Linked DNA regions of Rhinolophus ferrumequinum. The protein of the gene in region 1 interacts with the protein of each later gene in a biochemical or structural test. Links are inferred from orthologs where the notes say so. Each region holds a gene or a part of one and is shown in the gene's direction. Other genes may lie near its edges. The genes, in order: CALR and MBL2.

Region 1 (9,396 bases):
CTTGAAGATCAGTAGAAAGATCATTCTTGGCAGAAGGCACAACATGTGCCAAAGCCCTGAGGTGGCACGAGTCTGGCCTGTGTGCTTGACAACCACAGTGTGAAGGGAAGCTGGGAGGCGACTGAGAGCACCGAGGCCCAGGTGGGGAGAGGGGCTCTCCCTTCCCTCCCCCTACCCCACGGCCACACAGGTGACATGGGTCTGAGCCTGGGAGTGGCAGCCACTCACACTTCCGTCAGCAGTTTCCTCTTCTTGAGCTCACTCCTTTCCTTCTCACCCAGCTTCTCGGCCTGTCCACCCCGGACCAGCTGGAGCCGCCGCTGCACCTCATCCTCCACACTGTCCACCTATTGTAATGATGGGCATGAGGGACCGTGAGGACCAGGGGCTCACCCACCTACCCGCAGGGACTCACCACTCGGAACACCCGGGGCCCATCAGCAGTGCTCTTGTCCACGCGGATCCACTTGTTGGACATGGCCTTGCTGAAGCCCACCTTGCCGCTGGGCAGTCGCTGGGAAAACAAGGCTGCAGTGAGCGGGGCATGAGGACTGCCTTCACCCCATCACCTCCCTAGGACCCGTCCGCCCCCCAGCCCCTACCATGAGCTCGCTTTGGGCCAGGCCCTCCGGGGGGACGCTATGAAACACCCGGGCCTCATGGCTGCCTTCCCGGGCAATCTCCTCGCCCTCGACCGTAAGCTCCCAGCGCTTGGTGGAGCGGAGCTCAGCCTCGATGATCTGCAGGGCAAAGGGGGCATAGGAGAGGACAGGGTTCAGAGCCAGCACACCCTTGCCGCAGCCGCACTAGGGCCAACATAAAGCACAACCACTGAAGCTAACTAGCTAGCTTTACATCCCAGCTGCACCACTTCCGGAGCCGAGTGGGCTCCTCTTGTTGAGTTTCCCTTCTAGACACAGGGACAACGATAAATATGGTTCTAACTCCCAAGTTGAGTTAAAGTACTAAAGATGATACCTGGCAGAGAACACATTCTTTCTATCACTTTTGAACCTAGGAAAGATTTTTTTTTAACTTGGGGAAGATGTGATTTGAACCACATTAAGGAACCATTATTTAACCCTCTGTGACCTACACAAACGTCAATTTCACGTAGATCAAGATACTGTCACCCCACACACCATAGCTTCAATCCCTTTCCCTCACTGACAACCTTGGGCTCTGCAGCCCGACACCTAATGTCTTTTGTTGTTGTTGCTGTCCATGAGTGCCTAATTTCAAATCCAAGTTTGCCTGTCCCTTCTAGTGACACTGACCAAGTATTCAGGAGTGGTCACATCTGCCAAATAGGAATAATAACACTGCCACCGTTCTACGGTTATGGTAAGGAATGAATCATAAATAAAGCTGAGAACAGAGTGGGACACAGAACACGAGCTTCATGAATGAACAGCCCAGATCTGTGTTCTGAGTCTTTGCCTCCTGGATCTGGCCTCTTGGGTGGCCCACAGGCCTGTCAGCATCCTCCTCCTGTGGCTCCATCATGCTTCACTTATCCAAGTCAGAAGGCGGGGCTTCATCTGTGCTCCCCCTGCCTTGCCATGAATCTCATTTCATACCCTCTCCTGAATCACCTCTCCATTCTAGCTGCCTCCCTACAGCCAAACACCATGCCCTGTAGTTTGGGGATGTGCCAGCCTCTGCCCTTGTCCCTCATCTCCAATCCTCCCCCTGCCAGTTCTTTCCAAAAGTCATGTAAGCAGCACACATATCTGACTAGCTCCAGCTCCTGCCATGGCTCCCCAGTATCCCTGTGAGGGATCTACAAGGCCTTGCAAATTCTGGCTCTGCGGTCTTTCTCACCACCTGACCCCCAACTCCCAATGGATCCCTAAAGCGCTATGGTTTTCCTCCTCAGTACAGAGACCCGACTCAACTGTCATCTCCTCTGGGACACTCTCCCTCACCCCCATGGCTGGGTCAGCTGTCACCTCTGGGTTCCCTGTGCTTCCTCCATCACTCTGGTCACTTGAGTATCTTCCCTATCAGACCGCAATCTCCGTGAGGGTGGCGACCGCGTCTTCTTTGTCCACCATGGTAACCACCACCACGTTAATCATGCCTTTAACAGACGTTTCCTGCATAAGGAACGTCTGTGCGCCCGGGGCCCTCACTCGTTCCTGCTTTCCCGCCTGCACACCCCGAAATGAACACTTACAGTTAACCCTACGCAGGCCTGAGACAGTATGGCCTGGAGTCAGGGCCCTCCTGACACGGGAACTGCAGGTGCCAAAGCCAGCAGCCAGGCATCACGGGTTCGGCTCACCTCGCCCAACGCCTGCAGGCTCTTTACGGTGCCCACCAGGGCCTGGTGCTCCACACCCAGCTCGGCCGCCAGTTCCGCGCTGTCCAGGCCGCCATCCGCCGCCTCCAGGCGCCGCAGCAATGCCTCCGCCACCGGACCATCCGCCATAGCTACTCCCAGCGCGCTCCGCGTGTACCGGCCGGAGCTAGAGCCACCGGAACCGGAACCGGCGCCGAAGCGGATCCCGCCATCTTGAATGTGGTGGTCTGTGTTTCAGGGCTCAGGGCTTCGCCATCTTGAGTGTGTCAATTGGCCTCAAAGGGTGGAAGGGACTCAGTCCTTCTGCCTTGGCTGGACTAGTGGTGTCTGTTTGACGTGAGAAGTCAAATTGATGACCTCAAGGATAGAATTACAGCGTTGTTTTTAACTTTCATCCAGCCCCAGCTGCAGCGGGCTGTATGACCTTGGACTTCTCAACCCTCTCTGGGCTTTGGAGCCCCCAACCCTTCTGGAATTCTCTCTTACCCTATGGAAGGGCGGTGGGTGGTGGGCTCCAGAGATAAGTTATTCTACTGGTATCAGCTACTTTTAAATTTTCAAAGGGAGGTTGGATAGGGACCATCCGTATTTATAGATAGGAAAGGGACTCTCCTCATAATAGTTGCAGTCCAGGTAGTACCTAACCTGTATGAACATTAACCCGTGTGCCCCGTCCAGTGTTAAGTAGTGCACGTGTGTTATTTCATTTTCCCCAAAACTTTATGATGTAGATACTGGTATAATCCCCATGTAACAAATGTGGAAACTAAGGCTCAGAAGGTGATATGATTTGCCTATGGTTGTACAAGAAGCTGGTGGAGATGGAGTCAGAAATTATAAACACCCCAGATCCCACCCAACCTCCTACCCATGCTTTGAGATCAATGTCAGGGCAATAACGCATGGTCTAAATCAACGCTGGCATACAGATATACTCGTATAATGTGAGACATTAATGTAATTTAAAATTTTCTAGCAGCAACATTAAAAACAAAATGGGTGAAATTAATTTGAAGAACTTACCAATTCTGATACATCCATTTATCAGTTAAACACTTGATATAAAATTACTAATGAAATATTTTACCCTTCTTTTTCATATTAAGTCTTGAAATTCAAATGGGCAATAGTAACATGTGGCCAGTGGAGACTATATTAGATAGCAGAAGTACATTCTAATCCCAGATCTGCCATTTATGTCACTCAGCCAAATCTCTTAATCTTCCCATGCTTCAGTTTCCTCATCTGCATGTAGATAATATGAGCCCAGGTTATTGTGAGAATTAAGTGAAATAATGCCCATGCGTGTACGCAGTATTTAATACTAAATTGCATGTGGATTGTGTGTCAGGCACTATTCTAAGCAGTATGCATTTACTCATTTAACCATTACAATTGTTATTTGAGCCTAGAAAATGAGGTTACTAATATCCCCTAATCCCGACCCTACAGTGAAGTCCTGATAAAAAAATTTCAGAATGCATTCCTCAAAATCCCTTTTGTTCCTTCACTTTCCTCATTTTTGTTTAATTTCCTCAAGAGTCCTTCCTTCTGTCATAGATCAAATAGGTTGTAAGCCTGTTGTGTGCCAGGTGCTGCTTGAGACACCAGGGGATGGTAAAGTGAACAAGCACAGCGTCTACTCTCAGGCAGGAAGCACCAAACCCATGTGTCCATGACACTTGGTTGGAGGGAAGGCAGGAGGGTCAGTGACAGGCCTGAAGTGATCATCCTAGATTGGAGGCTCCTCATAAGGGGGGCCAGGTTGGGCCATACCGGATACTGCCTGGGGGAAGGGTCAGAATCCCAACTTCTCCAAGACTCCTCCTGCTTCCCTTTTCTGAGTTCTCATCACTAGTGTGGAAGTACCACCTCCTCAGTCTTTTGCCAGGATTCCTTCCCTTTCCCCCTTCTGCAGGCCATTCCCAAGTTCCCAGGTCTAGGGCTTGTTTGCTCAGTTTGGGAAAACCCCAGCCCTCCTTCCTCTTTCCTGCAGACTTGAGGCAGGGAGCTGGTGTCCCACACTGTCAGTCACATGGTTTCTGGCTTCAGAAGAAGCCTCTAGACTCAGGGGTCCTACCCCTCTCCCTCGGACCTTATCTTCCCCACCATCTGTCTCTTATTTTCCCTCCCGTTTAACGGAACCCCCTGTCCTCTCTTCTTTAGCCGTTTAATTGCAAAAGCCAGGCCGTTTGTGGGAGACCACAAGGCAGAGACCCCTTTCATTTTCTGGATGGGGGTGGAGGGTAAAGGAGAGGCTGCAACTAAGGAACAACCCTATCCCTCCCTAGGAGTCAAATCCTATAGTCATGTCTTTGAGCCTTCTGGGTTTTCTTCTGTCTGTCCCAGGCCATCCTTAAAAAACTTTGAAAGCATTTCTGCTAAGCAGCAGCTGCCCTGGGTCGCTCCTCCTAGCCTCCCAGGAACTCCTGTGACTTCAGAGTCTAAGTGACTTGCCCCAGCTCACACAGCAGCAGTCCACCAGGCTACCAGACACTAGGGACCGCACAGAAGAGAGAGCTAGCACTCTCTCCGCTGGACTGCACGGCTGTTGCGCCGGAGTGAAGTGAAGCTCCAGGGTCCCAGACCCTGGGCTCTGGTGCCCTCTGCCTCAGCCTGTGTGTGTGTGTGGGGGGGCAAGGCTAAGAGAGAAACAGCGCGTCGTAGTGAGAATTCCCCAAATGCAGGGTAGAGAGACTAGTAAAATCCTGCCCACCACACCCCACGGAGAGGATGAGAGAAGGCGACGTTGGGGTAGGGTCCTAGTCCAGCGCAGTGACACCTGCGCTCGCGCGGGTTCTTTAAATGCCCAAATCCAGAAAAATGCACGGGCGCGAGGGCGGGGTTGGGCCGAAGAGTGGTCACATGACCTGATCTGAGGAGTTGGAGGCCCCTACCCCACCGGTGGGCGTCCCCCACAACGCGTGGTCGACCCTCATTGGCGAGCGGTGCGGCCAATAGAAATCGGCCATCTGGGAACCCAGTGTTCCGAGGCACAGCCGAACATGCTGAGCCGAAGAGGGCCCAATGGGAAAGCAGAAACGTGGCCATTGACCAATGAAAAGATGTGGAGGGCGGGCCAAGAGGCAGGGCCAGGTTGGTTTAAGGGTCGGTCGGCTATAAAAGCGCGCGGCCAGAGCTAGCGTCCGTCCCTGCTGCAGAGGTGCTGTCCGACGAACGACTTAAAGGGCCCCGCGCTCTGCCGCCCCCTCGGCCCGCCATGCTGCTACCTGTGCCGCTGCTGCTCTGCCTTCTCGGCCTGGCTGCCGCCGAACCCGTCGTCTACTTAAAGGAGCAGTTTCTAGACGGAGGTAACGCCTCGAGGCCGCCCCGACGATGCGACCGGCCCCCCAGCCCAGATCTGCGTTGTGGCCTGTAATTATTGCTCTGAGGACCAACACGGTGGTCCCCGGGGACAAGAGCCGCAGCCTATCCTTCTTTCCGCGTCCCTGGGGAACATGGAGGGCGCAGTGGCCTCCCGCGTCGGGAGTTAGGGTTCGCCTGAGAATCTTTTAAGCCACTGGAGGTGTCAAACTAGTGGTTGGGATGGGGGCACTCAAGAGGGAGGGAGATGTCTTTGCCTGCAGCAGTTAGTGGCTCCTGGCAGATATTTGGTGGTGGTGTTGGGCGGAATCAGCAAAGCCGCGCTGACCTGCCCCTCTGATCCCGTAGACGGGTGGACCAACCGCTGGATTGAATCCAAACACAAAACGGATTTTGGCAAATTCGTCCTCAGTGCCGGCAAGTTCTACGGTGATCTGGACAAAGATAAAGGTAAGAGCATGGGTATAGGTCATCAGATCCAGGAGGACTTCCTGGAGGAAGTACTAGGCACTGCACAGCCTGGGCATCTCCAGGAGCAGGGCAGGCGGAGGAAGTGGGGAGAGTCGTCTGTATCTTTGATTCTTAGGGTTCCCTGGGGGTTGGGGCCAGCTGTGACCTCACTACCATCCCCTGCTAGGGCTGCAGACGAGCCAGGATGCCCGCTTTTACGCCCTGTCGACCAGATTTGAGCCCTTCAGCAACAAGGACCAGACATTGGTGGTGCAGTTCACCGTGAAACACGAGCAGAACATCGACTGTGGGGGCGGCTATGTGAAGCTATTTCCAGATAGTTTGGAACAGACAGACATGCACGGAGACTCTGAATACAACATTATGTTTGGTGAGGGGCCCCACCCTGGTGCTGACCTCTGATTAGTTAGAGGGAGACTGAGATCCCATAGGTTCCTTGTATCCCATGACAGGTGGTCTTGAAAGCACAGGAAACACATAGGCTTTTCTTTGAAGGGTAAGGTGAGGGGATAATCACAGCAGCAATTTATTGCATTGTTATTATTGGTCTAAGTCTGTTAATATGTGTGATCTTACATAGGCATTTTCCAATTTTACAAGTGAGGGTACTGTATTCTAGAGCATGAATTTTTTTTTTTTCCAAGGCTCCACCTTAGAGACACCTTAGAGACTGTCCCTTAGAGACAGTCAGTGTCTGAGTCCTGTCTCTTGAGTCTTTACAGACCTAAGTTTAAGAGGTTTTCCTTTTGTGAAGAATGGCGGGGTAGGGGGCGGGGGCTGGCTATGGTGGGCAGGGTTTGGCCCTTAACTGGACCTGCTTCTCACCTAGGCCCTGACATCTGTGGCCCGGGCACCAAGAAGGTTCATGTCATCTTCAACTACAAGGGCAAGAATGTGCTAATCAATAAGGATATCCGTTGCAAGGTGTGCCTGGGGTGGTGACAAATGGCTGCCTGGGGAGGCTCAGAGGCCAGCCTGGTGGGTGGGGCCACTTACTTCCCGCCCTCTTCAGGATGATGAATTCACACACCTGTACACACTGATCGTTCGGCCGGATAATACCTATGAGGTGAAGATTGACAACAGCCAGGTGGAGTCGGGCTCCCTGGAAGACGATTGGGACTTCTTGCCACCTAAGAAGATAAAGGATCCTGATGCTTCCAAGCCTGAAGACTGGGATGAGCGGGCCAAGATTGATGACCCCACAGACTCCAAACCTGAGGTTGGTGCTTGGGCAGGGAGTCCCCACCATGGAGGAGGTGGCGGAGAGCTGGGCTGACTCTGATCTCCTCGTGTGCCCTCAGGATTGGGACAAGCCTGAGCACATCCCTGACCCTGATGCTAAGAAGCCTGAGGACTGGGATGAAGAGATGGATGGAGAGTGGGAACCACCAGTGATTCAGAACCCAGAATACAAGGTGGGCCTGGGGCTCCCGAGCAGGATGGGGGTACACAGTGGGGAGCATGCTGACCTCTTCTCACCTCCAGTTCCCTTCTTCTGCAGGGTGAGTGGAAGCCCCGACAGATTGACAACCCAGATTACAAGGGCACTTGGATCCACCCAGAGATCGACAACCCTGAGTATTCTCCGGATAGCAATATCTATGCCTATGAAAACTTTGCTGTGCTGGGCCTAGACCTCTGGCAGGTGAGACATGGAGGGAACAGGAGGATCCCTAGGGGACCTCAAGTGCTCAAGGTCACCCAGAAGGAAAGGGACAGGGATAGGATCCAACCCTAGGTAGGTCTGACCCCAAAATTGTCCTGTTTTGAAGAATTTCTTGGTCTGTTTCTATGGCGTTCTCACAGCACCTCGTTTGAGGTTCTACATGCTATGCTAGGCACTCCCCCAAGAACCTTTATGTGAACCAACTCATTAACTGCCCCCAACAACCTAGAAGGTAGATAGTCCCTTATAAAATGAGCTGTACGGGGACCAAATTTTTGTTTGTTTCATTCACTAATATACCTTCTGTGCTAAGAACAGTACCTGCCAATAGTAGGTGCTAGAAAAATACTTGAACAAGAGGAAGAGATCCCATTATACAGATAAAGAAACTGAGGTATAGAAAAGTCACCAGCCCAACGTCACGTAGGTGGGAAATAGCAGAGCTGGGGTTTGCACTCAGTCAGCCTGTATTTTAAGTGTGAAGTTAGGCTGCGGCATTGTGGAGTGGTTATGGAACTGAAGGGCAGGAGCGTGGTGTGTTCCCTCTGGCCACCCCTTTATCCATCCTCCCCTTCCCAGGTGAAGTCTGGCACCATCTTTGACAACTTCCTCATCACCAACGACGAGGCGTATGCGGAAGAGTTCGGCAATGAGACGTGGGGTGTCACAAAGGTGGGGCCTGGGTCCAGTTCTTGGCTGGGGGGGCAGGCAGGGCTGGCAGGTGGGGGCCAGGTTCTGAGTGTATGGTCTGTGCAGGCGGCAGAAAAGCAAATGAAAGACAAGCAGGACGAGGAGCAGAGGCTGAAGGAGGAGGAGGAGGACAGGAAGCGCAAGGAGGAGGAGGAGGCGGACAAGGACGACGAGGATGACAAGGAAGACGAGGACGAGGACGAGGATGATAAGGAGGAAGACGAGGAGGAGGACGAGGCCGCCGCCGGCCCATCCAAGGATGAGCTGTAGGGGCCGCACCGCCATTTCCGGGGCTGAACTGAGGCCTGAGCGCTCCTGCCGCACAGCCGGCCGCGCCAAATAATGTCTCTATGAGACTGGAGAACTTTCCTTTTTTTTCCAGGCGGGTTCGGATTTGGGGTGGATTTTGGTTTTGTTCTCCCTTTTTTTTTTGTTATTTGTTTTTTGAACTGGTGTTTTTGTCTATGATTCTCCCTCAGCCCTCACCTCTGGCCCTCATCTTTCTTGACCCTTCGCCGTCCTCTGTCTCTTCTCTCCCCATGTCCCTTAGTTCCCCTCCAACCTGGGGGCATGAGGAGGTGGGGAGGAGAAGCTCCAGGCCCAAGATTCCGACTATTCACCTTCCTGAATCCCAGAGTGGGACAGGAAAAGGGCGTGGTGTCCCAGACCCCCAGCACTGAGGAAGAATGGGGCTCCTAGGGCCCGAGCTCCGACCCCTCACCCCCACTTCCTCCCTTTCTCCCTGCCTCCAGAACTGGGCCACTTCTGGGTGGGGCAGTGGGTTCCAACTCAGCTCATACAGAATGTAAGAACTACAAACAAAATTTCTATTAAATTAAGTTTTGTGTCTTCTTCCTGTGTCTCCTTCTGGGGGAGGATGGACATTAGGGAACCAAAAGTGGCCCTTTTTTTAGGGGTTGACATTTGAGTAAGGCTT
Region 2 (9,308 bases), on another chromosome or scaffold:
TGTGGTGTCTTCAGTACCGACGTGGGCTTGCTGCGATTCTGAGTTTGGCCACTAGATGGCAGAGCTGACCTGTAGGTTCCCTGTGGGACCTTGTTTAGGAGATGACCCTCACTCCATGGGTAGGGTTCCCCTGTCACTCACCATAGCTCCTCGGAAGCCATGCAGAGCAACCTGAAAGGACAGACTCTCCCTCCTCACCACTCCACCTCTCTTTAAACGGGAGTCAACAGGGGTCCAGGTTGTTCCTGGGTCAGTCAAGCTTGGTTACTCTGGGTCTCCTAAGTGTCTATTCCCTTACCTGTCACAGGAAACCCTCATTCTTGGTCCTCGTTCTCTGTCAGGGGAATATTTTTCTTAAGGGCAAGGGATTCCATATTCATACTACATTCTAGCCATCCCTCCAACATATTTATGGTTCTGAAGGGCTTTCTTTAAAACCCTTTAACAGCTGGAGGACGGAGACTCGTAAGGGGAGAGTCAGCCTCAGTCACAAATCTCAGGTCAGGATGGAATGGAATCAGATCTGTGTATGTTCCCTGTCCTTACCCTTCCTTCTGCCTTGGGGGTCGGGGGGCTGGTAGCTGGGCACCCAAGGAAATGTGGAAGAGGAGCAGCTGACATCTAGCTTGGCCAGCAGTGGCTGGAACTAGCCTCCCCCTGGCCTTCCTGTCAGAGCATCTTCCTTAACTCCCTCCCCCTTCCCATCCCACTGCCTCCAGTGCCCCTTCCTTCCTGTCCAGGACAGTTTTCCCTGTATCCCTAACTTCCTAGTCTATAGGAGCGGTTTGGGATTGGTTAGGTTCCCCCGGACCTAAGTCTGTATTAGCTCAGGCTGCCTTCACAAGATACCCAGAATGGGTGGCTTAAACAACATTTACTTTCTCACAGTTCTGAATGCTGGAAGTCCAAGATCAATGTGCCAACAGGGGTAATTTCTACTGAGACAGCCCTGTACCTTCTCACTTTGTCCTCTCATGGTCTTTTCTCTTTGTGTGTATGCACAAGGAAAAGTCCCTGGTGTCTCTTTCTCTTCTTATAAGGACACCAGTTCTATCAGATTAGGGCCTTATTCTTATGACCTCATTTATTTGTAATTAGTTACTTACAGGTCCTACCTCTAAATATAGTCACATTAGGGATTAAGGCTTCAACATATGAATTGGGGGAGGGGGAGGCGGGAGGAATGACAAAATTCAGTCTGTAACAGTGGATGTCTTAGAGCTGGTGGGTCTCTTGTGCCTGGTCAGACGGAAGCCCAGAGGCAATCTCAGAGCCTAGAACCGGCCAGTTCCAGCCCTCTGCCCTCCTAGACTCTCAGCCTCTCCCATGAGCTTGGCTGGAGTAATCACTGATGCTACATATGCCCACAGAGGGCACACACAGGGCATTTGTGCACTCACCCTGTACAAGGACAAACCTACTATGACAGCTATCGAAGGACGCATGGCTACAAATTTACTCTGCAACACATGCTTTGTATTAAAACACAGAATTCCGGTAAGCATGTCTTTAAAGTGAGCATGATAAGCTTTCACATTGGAGGGCACTAGAGAGCTGCTGCAAGAAAAAGGGGCTCCTGCAGTTTGTGGATGCATCTCAGTGGTTGGGTCCGCCTTGTGTGTATGAGAACAGCCCTGAGAGCCCTGCCCCAGCCACAGTCCGGAGGCTGGGTTGCTGGGCGAGGTGGCGAGTGTGCCACCTTAGCATGGTCCGACCACAGCCTGTCCTGCAGCCCTGTCCCGCAGCCCTGTCACCAGGAAAACCCAGAAGAAGGCTTCCTTCCTGCACCTCTGCCCTGATTCTCTCTGTGGTCCTTCTCCCCTAAAAGTGTCTCCCACAATCTTCTGGAAGCAGCAGCCCTCCCAGTAGGGACAGTAGGCTCCAGGCCTGCCACACCCCCACCCACTCCCATTGCCCAATGGAGCAGCCACCAGCTCTGCTTGCCTCCCACCTGTTTCCTAAGATAAGCAGACTCTTGTGCAGTCATCCTGGAGGCAATGAAGTCCCTGGCATGCTGGGCTACATGCCATGCACGCTGAGCGTGGGCCCGAAAAGGACATTCCATGGCACAGAAAAGGCAGGGGAATCCTGGTTCACAGATGAGGGATGGAGGAACCGAAGGAGATGGGACTTGGCTAAGTTCACACCTGGGAAGTGACAGAGCTGGGATTCCATCCCTGGCTAGAAGAAAGGGAGTTTTGTGGGGCAGGTCAGAGAGGAAGTGTCTCTGCAGCCTTTTGAGGTAAGGTAGATGTCTGGTGGAGGTACCAGAGTGGAGGCAGTTCTGGGACGGGCCCAAGGTCCACAAAAAATGCACACAGTGGCCTCTCAAAGGCAGGGTGCATCTCCCGCGTATCTCATGATGAGAAGGCCAGCTGGTGACTGTGGAGAGCAGAAGGGGCTCGTAGCCGGGCAGCACTCAGCGCAGTGGCTCAGCTGTTGGACTGACTTCGAACCTACATGTCCGACCTTTCCCAGCCCAGTTCCAGGAAATGTCAGGGCCTGGAGGGCAGCTTCCTGACGTCTGGACGAAGTGTCCAATAATATAATAGCAAGCACGGTGATCAAAGCCAACACCTCCAACGTGACCTGGATTCAGCTGCTTCATTTCACCTCCTGCCACTTTGGAACAGGAGCCATAGGAATGTTTGGCTGCTAAAGAGTCGGGAAGAGAGATGAACAAGTTGCCTGAAGCCTTGATAGGCCCTGAATCTCCTAGTCTCTGTCATTTGATTTAGGCATGTGGTTCTCTGCCACCCTGGACATTTATCAGGCAGAAGGGACGAGTCAGCAGAATGTAGGGAAACCATGACCTCCACAAGCCAAGGACAGTCCAATTGGAAGGGACCTGGAAGAGAATCTCACCCACATTCCTTCTGGTGTTTGGAGGCCTCTAGAGCATGGCTCTGTAACATCTATGTGAGGCTTCCAAGATGGGCTCTCTCACCACTCCAAGCTCACATGACATTTTATGACACGTCTATTAAAAATGATGTTCAAAATCAACTCCGTTGTGCTTCATAAAGGTATTGTGCCATTCCTTCTAGATTGTTCCTCTTGACCACCATCACATGGCTCCAGCCATTTACCCACAAGATACCCATTATCTCCCCCTCCTTGCAATTGTTATTTTGTCTTTATTTCCATTTCAGTTGAACGGCATTCAGCTATTCAAGTCAGAAACCTGTGTATCCATAAAAATTCCTTCTTTTTGTTCATCATTGCACATCCAACCAATTCCCAAGTTCCATCAAATATACCTTGCAGATGTTCTCAAACGTGTCCACTTTCTTGATCCAGCTGCCATTATCCTAATTCTGGCCACCATTATCTGCTGCTTAGATGATAGGACCTCCTTGCAGGTCTGATTTTTCCCATACCTTCTCCCTTCCAATCCTTCTCCACACTGTAGTCAGAACAAGCTTTGAAAATTTCAAAGCTGATGTTCTCTCTTCTGTTGAAATTTCTCTAATGACCCTTTGGAAGAGGCCCAAAGTCTTATAAAAGTTACAATTCTGTTGTTAACTTGCTCATGCCTCATCTCTCACCACTTGGATCTCACACTGTAAGCCCAGTCAGAATTAATCGTATTATCTTTGGGAACCTGGCCTACTCTCTCTCACTTTCAAGCCATTGCACAGACTAGTCACAATGTGAAACTTGGAAGGAAGCAGGAATAATATTTGGAACATCCACAACTTCCTTGAGACTCCCTTTGGAAAACGTTTTTTTTGAAATAATTTTAGTCTCACATATAAGTTGAATAAATAATCAAGAAAGGTATCATGTACTCTTCATCCATCATTCACCAATGATAGGTTCTAACATACCATAGTACAAGTACCAAAACCAGGAAATTGGCATCAGAGCAATATAACAAGATACTAATCTTATTTGGATTTAAACATTATTTACCAGCATTCTTTTTTTTTTTCCTGTGATTTTTCCACAGTTTATTTAGCCATTCACTTGTTGAAGGATAATTGGATTAGTTCCAGATTTTTTGGCTATTAAAAATGAAGCTTCCAAAATGTGATGTTTGCGTATAATAAAATTATTACTCGGCTTTAAAAAGGAAGGAAATCCTGATATATGCTACAACATGGATGCACCCTGAAGACATGATTATAAATGAAATAAGCCTGTCACAGAAACAGAAATGTAGTATGATTCCACTAACATAAGTACCTAGAGTAGTCAAATTCATAGAGACAAAACGTAGAACAGTTGTACCCAGAGGACGGGGGTGGGGGGGGCTGGACATTGGTGTTTAATGGGTACAGAGTTTCATTTAGGGAAGATGAAAAAGTTCTGCAAATGAATAGTGGTCATGGTTACACAACAAAGTGAATGTAGTTAATGCTGATGAATTGTACACTTAATAGTCAAAATGATAAAAATTATGCTATGCATATTTTAACACAACAACAAAATTAAAAAGGTAAATAGCTAGAATATAATACCATGAAATGTATGTAATATGAAAGAAAATAAAGCAAGCTAAGACGATAGAGAGTCGCTCGGTGGGACTGATTGAGACAGGTTTCTCTGAGACAGGGGTATTGGGATAGAAGAAAGAGCCAGCCAGTGACACAGTGGCGGGCATGTGCAGGCTAGGAGAATGTCAAGTGGAGAGCCTGAGGCAGGGGTGGTCTTGGTGTGTTCAAGGCAGCAAGGTTCTGCTGTGCTTTCACAGATGTGTGTGTGTGTGTGTGTGTGCACATGCACATGTTTGTGTGTATAATTGGTGTGCACAAACATGTGGGTACATTCCTGGGTATTGTTAGGTTTCTCTATTAGAAACAAGGACGTATCACGTGAGCCTACTTACAGCGTCTCAGCAACGAGAACTGCCAGAACGGATGGCAATTTGCAGGAAGATTGGTGCAGTATTAAAGCAAATAGCTGTTGAACAAAATGTCAGAACCTCTGGGAAATGCTAAGGAGAGTTTGGTGCAGCCCTAAGAAAAGTTGTTTATTAATCTGGGGTTGAAGGCCAGGCCTACTCTGCCAGTGTACAAGGTGATTGGGCCCTGCCATTGCCAAGTCCAGCCTCCTTCCTCACCCTGAGGCAACTGCCAGAGCCCCTGGCTGGAGGGCCAGCTTCCTTGTCTCTGCCTCCTTGCTTTGCAGAAGCCCTAGTAAGTCCTTTCCAGGGTATGGATTTGTCTAGGGGCTTGACTTGAACTTGGAGGCCTAGAGGGGCACTTTCTGGTGGGGTGGAGGTGGGGAGATGACAGGCAGAAGCCATGCAGGGTGTGCTTCTTTCTCTGCTTACGTCGGGGCACCTGTGACTTTCCTGGATTTACCTGACCATTTGGAAATGAGACTGCCTTTATTTTCAAAGAGAGCCATGAAGGATTAGACCCACAAAGCTGGGCTACTGAGGTTTCCTGAGGAAGGACGGCTTTGAAAGAGAGCTTTGAAGGACAGATGAAATGCTAACATTGAGAAATGGGAAGGGCAGTCAAGGAAGGTGGTCTAATTGCCAATGTTTTTGACTCACAGAACACAAGAAAAGTCCTTCCAGGAACTGGAGAGAGATCTGGCACCCTGCTAGGGCCAAGGTAGTGAGAGGTTTCTAGAGAAAATGCTACCCCTGGTAAGTCTCGCTTGCATGGGAACTAAAACCTCAAGACGAAGCAAACTCAGGTTAATTCTGGGCTGGGCTAGTGACGAATAGTGACTCTTCCTGTCTGGATCATCAGTCGGCAGCTTGGTGCCTGCCACTGAGTCAATGTTGATTAACTTTGCCCAGATAGGAGGATGGGATGTGGGTGACAGATGAGCCCAAAGTGCAGAGATGGGGAAAGGATGAGCTCCGACAGGTTCCTGGTCTCCATTCACTTCTACCCTCTAAGCTAACAGGCATGAATGTGCTGGCAATGTGTAGGCCCATTTGCTCTCACAAATGACATGGAAAGCCTACTCATGAATTCTAGTGGTGATACCAGGGGCATGGGCACACATGACCCCTCCTTAGAGTCCCCATTGCATGTCGTTGGGCCTACATTTGTTAATCACACAATGTCAGATTATTTACTTTTCCAAATCCCCAGTAAGGGAGCAGGAATGGTTTATCCATCTCTACATCACCTCCACTCAGAACAGGTAACAGGACAGAGGAAATATTTGGTAAATATGTGTTGATTAGCTGAACAAGATGAGAGAATCTTCCTTGACTTTCTGCACACCAAGGTGAGGACCATGTCCCTGTTTCCATCGCTTTCTCTCCTTCTCCTGAGTATGGCGACAGCATCTTGTTCAGAAACAGAATCCTGTGATAACGTCCAAAAGACATGCCCTGTGATCACCTGTGGTTCTCCAGGCATCAACGGCTTCCCAGGAAAAGATGGGCGTGATGGTGCCAAGGGAGAAAAGGGAGAACCAGGTACAACTGGGCTGTTCTAGCTCTGTGACTCTTTACCTTCCAGACAAAACTGCCTGGGCATATAAGGAGAATACTGCCCTACGTATTCAGGTTGCATTTCTCTCAACTACATATTATAATTCACAATACAATTATAGCTCTGACTCTCTAGCATCCCAGACTTCCACACAGGAGTTGGTGACACACGGTTTTCCTACTTGCTTAGGGAGTTGGCCATCCCATGGGACATAGGAGGATTTTCTTCTCTGGGTCATTAGTAGTAGTTTAGAAAAATTGGTCCTGGATTAGTGTCTCCTTTCTCCTGGGAAGGGATTAGACGTCAAACTCTTGGAGAAATAGAGCAACAACACAGATATCGATTTATGTTCCCTCCGTCTTCCAACAGGCCAAGGACTCAGAGGCTTACAGGGCCCTCCTGGAAAGTTGGGGCCTCAAGGAATCCCAGGGCCTCCTGGGTTACCAGGAACAGTAGGCCAAAAAGGAGACCCCGGAAAATGTCCAGGTAAGGAGCTTACCTCAGCAAGATCTAGGTTAAGGACACCCTAAATCCTGGGACTTTGAGTACCTGATGAGAGATGCCCCTTCTCCTGCTGCTTTGATGGAAGATGCTCAATTCTGCTTTCTGACCCAGCACCCTCAGCTCTCTTTAGATTACTTAGAGCCTCAGGGGATTCCTACCTGTGCTAAGTACAGACTTATAGACTCTTCAGGGCCACCCCTTCACCAGGCATCCCGAGAGGCGCTGGGCCCTGACTCCCTTTAGCTGAAACAATGTGAGGCTCTGGTCCAAAAGGGAGAAAATAGGCCATTTATGTGTAAGGCTTGTCATGTCTATTTTCACAACAGCAGTATATACATGGTATGTCAGTTATCTTTTACTTCATGAGGAACAAACATACAAAAAACAAAACAAAAACACAGCCACAGAAGCAATTCTGTGGATCCACTGAGTGATTTTTCTGTTGGTCTCTGCTGGATTCACTCGTGTCTGTGGTCAACTGATGACCAATGGTCACACTTACAAGTCTTGCTGTTGTTTAGTTATCAGGCGGAGTGAGCCACAGGTCCCTCATCCTCCAACAAGCTAGCCTGGGCTTGTTCCCATAGAGGTGATTACAAGATTCCGAGGAGTGGAAAGAATAGAAGCTTTAAGACCTTCTGAAGGCTTAGGACATGTACATTATTGCCTCTGTCACATTCTAATGGTCAAAACAAGTCACAAGGCCATCCCAGATTCAAGGAGTGGGAAAATAGGCTCCACTTCTTAATGAAAAAGATACACCACACTGAAGCCATTTTTGCTATCTATCACACATGGCTTGCTGCCCTCCCTCTCCCCTACACACAGACTTAAATAATGGGCAATTCACAAAAATCTTGGTTTGCTGATTAATAGAACAAACCCTGGAAAAACAAAAACAAAACAAAAAAGCAACAAAAACAAAACCTCCCTAAATACAAAAACCCTGTAATCTTTTAGTTGATATTCACCATCACATAATAATTTCCCAAGAGGTTTGTTTTTTTGTTTTTTTTTTTCCCCTAATCTATGATAGAGCTGTTTATTTGGGAAAAACAAGAATTAGTGAATAGCTTGGTGTATGGAGTGCTATCATACAAAGTCATCAGGGAGTGCATGTATGTGCATTTGCATGTGAGTGTGTATGTATGCTTTACGTGTCTATGGATATACTCAACAGACGAAGAGTGATGTTTTGGGATGGATGAGAATAGAGATACTTTTCCTTATTCTCTCTCTCTTTCCTCTCTCTCTCTCTCTCTGTGTGTGTGTGTATATATATATATATATATACACACACACACACACATACATATATACATATATATGTATATATATGTATGTGTGTATATATATACATATATATAGCTATATATACATATACAGCTATATACATATATATTTAATTTTTTCAAAGAGCAAATATCAATGTAAAAGAAACAAAAAAATATATATATATATATATATTTTTTGATAAAGATACCCTACCTGCTTGTAGTTCTGAAACCCTTTCTCAACAATGCTCTTTCACTTTGTTTTAATTTCCTAGATTGTGATAATGGCCTGGCTGCTTCAGAAAGAAAAGCTCTGCGATCAGAATTGGACCGTATGAAAAACTGTAAGCCTTCTCTCTCTTACTTTTCAGGCAGCTTAAAGTTTGGGAAGGTGGACAGCAACAAATATTTATGAAATACACATAATTTCCTAGCACCTGGATAGTTGTTTCTTATATTCCTCACAACCTTTGGGTAGAAATAGAGGCAAAAAGAAATTACATAACTTGCTCAAACGCACAGAGCTGAGTGGTAGAGGTAGTTTACAAATGGGAATCAATCTGACTCCAGAGACCCGAATCCTACAGTTTTTCCTATCAGTGTGCACATGTGTCAATGACAACGGGACCTACTTTCCTTTCCCATTATTACGCTGGTGTTGAGACCCGACAATGGGCCTAACCTGTTCCTCCTTCGCCCTCCCGGCCTGGGGCAATATTCTCAGATATATTTGTTTATTCTCAAGTTAATATTAGGGTGAAATTCAGAATTACAGATTATATGTCTTCAGAATTCTAATCCAAAAGGACAAAGGCCTTTCCAGTATGTCTCTTCAGATTAGGTTTCCCAGACTTAACAAATTCAAACAAACAAACAAACAAAAAACAAAACACTCATATACATATGAATTTCAGATGAACAACATTTTTTTTTTCTTCAGTATAACTGTGTGCCCAAAATTGCATGGCCTAAAATTGCATGGGCAATACTTATTAAAAAAAAAAAAAAGTTTACCTGAAATTCAAAGTTAATTGGACATACTATATTTCATGTGGCAATTCTACTCTAGAAGCCTTTATCCAGAAAAATACCTTGGGCTGGACTTAAAGACAAGCCACTGTAA

Evidence for each region.
Region 2: the proteins of CALR (region 1) and MBL2 form a complex in vitro, tested with the Homo sapiens proteins (2 studies listed by BioGRID and IntAct). The link is inferred for Rhinolophus ferrumequinum from reciprocal best matches to the Homo sapiens genes CALR and MBL2.

The regions. Positions count from the first base shown.
Region 1 is NC_046301.1:48,679,330-48,688,725, reverse strand, and holds CALR (calreticulin), read left to right. Parts: upstream 1-5,441; 5' UTR 5,442-5,525; coding exon 5,526-5,616; intron 5,617-5,977; coding exon 5,978-6,079; intron 6,080-6,266; coding exon 6,267-6,470; intron 6,471-6,929; coding exon 6,930-7,024; intron 7,025-7,112; coding exon 7,113-7,322; intron 7,323-7,404; coding exon 7,405-7,518; intron 7,519-7,604; coding exon 7,605-7,748; intron 7,749-8,348; coding exon 8,349-8,441; intron 8,442-8,525; coding exon 8,526-8,729; 3' UTR 8,730-9,294; downstream 9,295-9,396. Other genes in the region: FARSA (phenylalanine--tRNA ligase alpha subunit), read right to left, coding at 229-347, 416-514, 603-740, 2,288-2,434. UniProt on the Homo sapiens protein: Calcium-binding chaperone that promotes folding, oligomeric assembly and quality control in the endoplasmic reticulum (ER) via the calreticulin/calnexin cycle.
Region 2 is NC_046299.1:35,533,609-35,542,916, reverse strand, and holds the start of MBL2 (mannose-binding protein C), read left to right. Parts: upstream 1-5,514; 5' UTR 5,515-5,590; coding exon 5,591-5,602; intron 5,603-6,198; coding exon 6,199-6,391; intron 6,392-6,776; coding exon 6,777-6,893; intron 6,894-8,460; coding exon 8,461-8,529; intron 8,530-9,308. UniProt on the Homo sapiens protein: Calcium-dependent lectin involved in innate immune defense. Binds mannose, fucose and N-acetylglucosamine on different microorganisms and activates the lectin complement pathway.